Kluyveromyces lactis: one gene and its partner. The protein of the gene in region 2 interacts with the protein of the main gene of each other region in a pairwise test. Links are inferred from orthologs where the notes say so. Each region holds a gene or a part of one and is shown on either strand. Other genes may lie near its edges.

The links.
Region 1: the proteins of UBC6 (region 2) and STE14 interact in a protein complementation assay, tested with the Saccharomyces cerevisiae proteins (2 studies listed by BioGRID). The link is inferred for Kluyveromyces lactis from reciprocal best matches to the Saccharomyces cerevisiae genes UBC6 and STE14.

What each region holds. Positions count from the first base shown.
Region 1 is NC_006037.1:192,105-195,033, reverse strand, and holds STE14 (protein-S-isoprenylcysteine carboxyl O-methyltransferase), read right to left. Parts: upstream 1,412-2,929; coding exon 665-1,411; downstream 1-664. Other genes in the region: KLLA0_A02189g (Siz/PIAS RING finger protein), read left to right, coding at 1-534; VPS71 (Vps71p), read right to left, coding at 1,792-2,541; carnitine O-acetyltransferase CAT2, read right to left, coding at 2,869-2,929. UniProt on the Saccharomyces cerevisiae protein: Mediates C-terminal methylation of the isoprenylated C-terminal cysteine in A-factor mating pheromone and Ras proteins.
Region 2 is NC_006041.1:1,813,367-1,816,171, reverse strand, and holds UBC6 (E2 ubiquitin-conjugating protein UBC6), read right to left. Parts: upstream 1,555-2,805; coding exon 799-1,554; downstream 1-798. Other genes in the region: KLLA0_E20417g (uncharacterized protein), read left to right, coding at 1-476; KLLA0_E20373g (ribose-phosphate diphosphokinase), read left to right, coding at 2,224-2,805. UniProt on the Saccharomyces cerevisiae protein: Catalyzes the covalent attachment of ubiquitin to other proteins. Functions in degradation of misfolded or regulated proteins localized in the endoplasmic reticulum (ER) lumen or membrane via the ubiquitin-proteasome system.

The DNA of each region.
Region 1 (2,929 bases), on a different chromosome or scaffold from region 2:
TCAATGTTATTCAATGGAAATGGACAAGCTCACCCTCAAGCACCTTCCGGTTCCTTTTCTGATAGCAATTCTCGGATCGTTGTTCAACCAATGGGAAGTTCTCCGCGTGGCCAAACAAGCGATAAAGTCACACAGGTATCCATACAGCCCACAGAACCTCCTTCCATGGGAGTTCCTGTACTACCACCTCTACCAACTTTGCCAGTGAGATCAACTACTTCTACGATGTCACCGAATTTACCTCAACCACCGCCTATCCATGATCCTAGAAGAAGGAAGCCAGAGGTATCACCGTTTTTACCCAAGAAGAATTTTAAGAATGTTCTACCGAAGAAAAGAGCACACTCCAACGGCAACGCACAAAATGTGCATTCAGAAATCAACGGGAACCATGACTCTGGAACCTTACCAGCACCTTCACCCATATCCAATGTGCAGGTATCGCCTTCCCCGGCTATAATGAATTCAAATAATGTACCGCCTCCTAATGACTCTCTTAATTCTGACGATTTGATCGACTTGACCTCCGATTAACATTCTACAAGGATTACGTTAAGTTTTAGTATGAACTGCATAAAGTATATACATAAAACTTCATAAATCATTCATATACAATATTGTATTTTTACTGTTACAACTACCAAACCGAAAAGAAATGGCTATTCTATTTGATGAAGGGAATACCAACTCCTACAGTTTCCCTGTACGTTATGTACTGATTCCCGAAAAACTGCACGAGGTATCTTTCTTCGAATGCAATTCTACTATTGAAGAATTTCCATAAAACGACAATAAAAATGACCAATGAAACTGGATTTAACAGCATTAGCTGCGAGCCAACAGACCACCAAAAGAATCCAAAGTAACTGGGATGCCTACTCTTTGAATATATGCCGGACGTGACAAGAGTGTGGTCAGAGTTCTTTGTTACCTTCACAACATGTGAGAATGATTGCCCCGCTGTGATCATTGCAGATGATCTAACATACTGTCCAAGGAGTAGCAATACAACTCCTACGGTAACAATAAATTCGTTGTAAAAGGAATAGGTTGTAGATTTGAACGACGGGAATAGAAGGCGTTCTATGATTGTCTCTATCAGTGCAACCGAATGGGCCAAAAAGTACCCGACACCGTTGTTTATCAAAAAGGAGTTTGTATTCAATTTCCCAGGATTGTATTTGGCAGTAATCCAAAACTCTAACAGATGAAATATGGATAGTGAGATCATGTATATGTTGAAGTTCCAAAAAGGAGACAGGCATAATGTAATAAGGGATACACCAAAAATCACTCCTAGCATAAATGCCGTTAAAGATATCTCGTCCAATTCGTTCTTTTGTATATTAGGAAATGTTTTCCCATCAATAATCACAAGAACATCCTCACTTTCATCATCTCTGCTCGACATAACTTCCGCACCTCTCAATCCACGCCAATACCTTCACTGATTTCAACTAGAATAGCTCAGAATAAAAACCAAAAACCAGCGTGAAGGATTCTTCAAGGTCTGATATATTAATGGAATATGATGCGTACTGCTAAATACCAACAGCAAGGAGTTCAAATAGTGTCTTGTTCGATAACAAATAGTTAAGTTAAAGTCTTCTCTTTCATCGGTATTAAAATTGTTTAAAGTGAAAGAATGAAAAAAAAAAGATAATGGCCTCGATTTTATACTATAATCAGTATTTACAAAGACATCAACATGAAGCAACAAACACGGGATCATGAGCAGTGTTTTGAGGTTCAAAGAGAGTAGCTGTTAAGTTTTTTCAGCTAGCAGCAAACTCAGTTGTTACATCTTGTTTCACTGTGTAATTCATAACAGCGAAGACTGCATATCTTGTCATTGCAAACAACGCAGTTAGATATACTGGAGTAACCACCACACATAGAGCAGGTGACGATCATTGGTAAGACCCTGAAAAACTTCTTGTTTTGAACGTTACTATAAATGAGTGTGTGGTTCACTTGGTCTAAAGTTTCTAGATAGGAGTGTAAAGACCTTCTGCTTGAAAGTACTTTCCTTAGTGCTGATATTCTGTTGGAACTTTTCTTTGATTTCCGAGGCGGCTTGCTTGATTTATACAATAAATTCATAGACTTGGGCAAATCGAACTTGGCCATCCTCTGTCTGGATGAACCTGAGCCTGATTGTTGCTCAGATAATATACCGGTGCTTGTTTGATCGATCTTATCTTTGTTCAGCCCCGTGATGTTACTGAGAAGAGTTGTAACTTCACGAAGATCTTGATAGTTTTCTGTGTCAAGTTCCATGAACCGCTTATTAGATCGTAACAAATCAGGCAAGGCATGCTTATCAGATCCTGTCAGTTGATTTATGTCGTCTTTATCGCTTCCCTTGGGCTGATTATATATCTTTGCCTCCAAATCAGCCAATGAATAATTGACTCTCTTGTTTCTTGCTGAGGTTTGAGACTGTTTCGAGACCCTTGCACTTTGATGAGTTTGGTTCAAACTGCTGAAATAAATGTTAGGATTATACGTCCTCACATTGATTTCTTCTACCGACCTCATATTGACACTCTTCGCACGCTTCTTCCTTCTTTTATCCAGTGATAAAGTGTCTTCCTCGGTATACTCACTATGATAAGGTCGATTTTAAATTTCTTTGCCATATTCTCATTTGATATATAATATGGTAGATATGCGAACAACAGTAACTGAAGGGAGAGAAAAGATGTCAATCATTGGGTAAGATAGGCCGTTAACGTATGGTTGATGATGGTACCAATTGTTGCCAGTGCATCCTTGTTCAGTAATTCATAATAGATCATAAAGTGGTTAGAATATCATATATAATGGACTCGTACTAAAACAATATAAACTGGTGCCTGTGCTATATCATAGTTTGGCCTTGGCAGAGTTGTGTAGAGACAAAGTTTCATACATTTCATCTGCCGCC
Region 2 (2,805 bases):
TAGTGGCAAGCAATGAATTGGTTGAATATAACAATGAAACTGGAAATTTTATAACTCAACCATTTGGCCAGGGTAGCTTCAATTTAGTTCTTGACTTTATTGGAGGGTATGACATTATCGGTCACTCTTCTTCCATTTTGTCCAAAGATGCTACTTACATCACAACCGTTGGCGATAATAAATCGAATTACAAGAAAGATACTTTTAATTCATGGGGTACTGCAAGTTCTAATATTAGAAAGCTGTTCGGACAGGTGCTATGGTCTTTCGATTATCAAATGTTTTATTTTGATCCAAATGCCAAATTAGCGACAAATGAATGGCCAAAAAAATGTCATGAGCTAATAGAAAGTGAAGTTGTCAAGTTTATTCCTGTAGATAGGGTATATGATTGGAAAGAACATCAAAAGGCATTTTCCTATCTGCAGACAGGCCGTGCACATGGTAAAGTTGTTTTAAAGGTAGAGAAGTTTTGAACTTTAAGCTGCACTTATGAATATGTGCTAATATCTTGCGAAATGAATTTATGAAAAGATGTTGAACGACAAAAATGACCAATGATATGGCTACGGCTTATAATCATTGTGATATTTTTAATTTTGTATGTTTTTTTGTTCTAATTGTCTCTTATGAATTGACTATTTATATATTTTTTATGTAACGCCGTCTTAAATTGTTGAAATCTCAGGTGACGAGATCATATGAACCGCTGTTGTGGCCATAGTTGGAAACATAATATCAATAATACTATACTGTACAACACTTAGAGCCTAGAAGATGCTAACATATTTGATGAACTCATTTCATTATTAAACCGACGAAAAAAATCGCAATAGCCAAGATCAGACAAAGCAGCGATTTGATGTTGCTATTCTCGCCAGGATTTTTATCCTGATCTTTCTTATCCTTCTCGGCCTTTATAAGCTCTTGAATTCTTACTCGATCCTCAGGATCCGAAATGTCGTCTAGTGAAGTTGCTTTCTCCGTGGCTAGTTTCTGTGCTTTATTTTCCTCTTGTTGTGCTCCTTTGGATTCCGCTTCCAAAGCAGCCTCCCTCTCTATGTCCTTAATATTCGACTCTCTTAAATCAGGGAACATATTCTTGAATTTGAAATTGCTATAAGTATTAAAATGTTTCGATTTCTTAGCCAGAGTCCTTTTATCCTTATCAGAGGTTGACACCGACCCCGTTGTCTGTTCATCACCTGTCATGAAACTTAAAAGGCCATTCAATATAGTCACTACAGACCATGCTGGGTTCCACGCCTCTGGATGATAATCACTCATCGAAAGACATAGTCTAGTATTTTCCTTGAATCTGCCGTTAGGCGTAATCATGCGAATCGCCGGTGGATTAAATGGGTAGTCTGAAGGGAAAGTTAACGTTCCATGATATTGACCATTCTCATACGGAGTGCTAGGTGGACCGGTAATCACGTAATGCCATTCTAATATGTTATCTTCATGTGGTGCTGCAATAATGAATGGAGGAGGGTTGTTAACAATGTTCTTGTATTCCTTAGTCAACCTTTTGTTAGCCTGTATACTTGCCATCGTACCTTTTAACACGCAAATATGAGATACTGGGATGGTAACGAGCGATAGATTGGAACTTCAAAACAGGAAACACTTGTGTAAGTCTTTCGCAGCGGACAATATACTGTTCTTGACCTTCCTAGATCCTTCAACATTGCAATACAAAAGCATTCTTTCTCTCATTTTGGCAGAAGATACAAAAAACCTTAAAGTTAAATAAAAGTTTCTTAAATACATAAAAAATTCGATTCAAATGTCAGTGGATTCTCTATAAAAAGGGGAAAATCTGGGGTACTCACCACGAGGAAAAGCCTAACAGCTGAAAGTATTACGACCTAATTTACTATGTTCGCTGAAATGACAGTATTTGCTGCCAACTACTGCTGTCTAGTCTTTGTTTCTGCCAAATATCATTATGTCATGTCACCTTATAGTATTATGTACGGAATATCTAATGGAAGAATGAAAAGCTTTAAACAGAGTTTTTTATCATGAAAAGATACAAATTTGAATGAGTCGAAAATCACATCAAGAAAGTAATTAACTTGTAGATAAGGACCAAAGTCCGAAATAATCAACTATATCGTTTAGACAGTTGCTGTTGCCATATCCAATTTCCATATTTGGTTGCATCTGGTGCTCTGGTTTCGGTTTTTTGGAACGTAATATCTACCATATACATACTGTATGGAAACGAGTAAAAGAATGAGTACCAATAGCATCAAATTATTGGCTGGTAACTCTCATCCCGAGCTAGCTCAGAATATTGCTAGAACCCTTGGGTTGCGCTTGTCCAACATCGGAGTTTACCAGTACTCTAATCAGGAAACTTCTGTCACTATCGGGGAGAGTATACGTGATGAGGACGTGTACATTATTCAAACTGGTACAGGGGAGCAAGAGATTAACGATTTCTTGATGGAATTATTGATTATAATTCATGCATGCAGAACAGCTTCTGCTAGAAGAATCACTGCCGTGATTCCGAATTTTCCATATGCAAGACAGGATAAAAAGGATAAATCTCGTGCTCCAATCACAGCGAAATTAGTAGCACAGATGTTGGAAACTGCTGGATGTGATCACGTCATCACTATGGACCTACATGCTTCTCAAATTCAAGGTTTCTTCCATATTCCTGTGGATAATCTTTACGCCGAACCAAGTGTTCTAAAATATATTCAACATAAAACTGACATCGGTAATGCGATCCTTGTATCGCCTGATGCCGGCGGTGCTAAGAGAGTTGCTTCTCTGGCAGATAAGCTA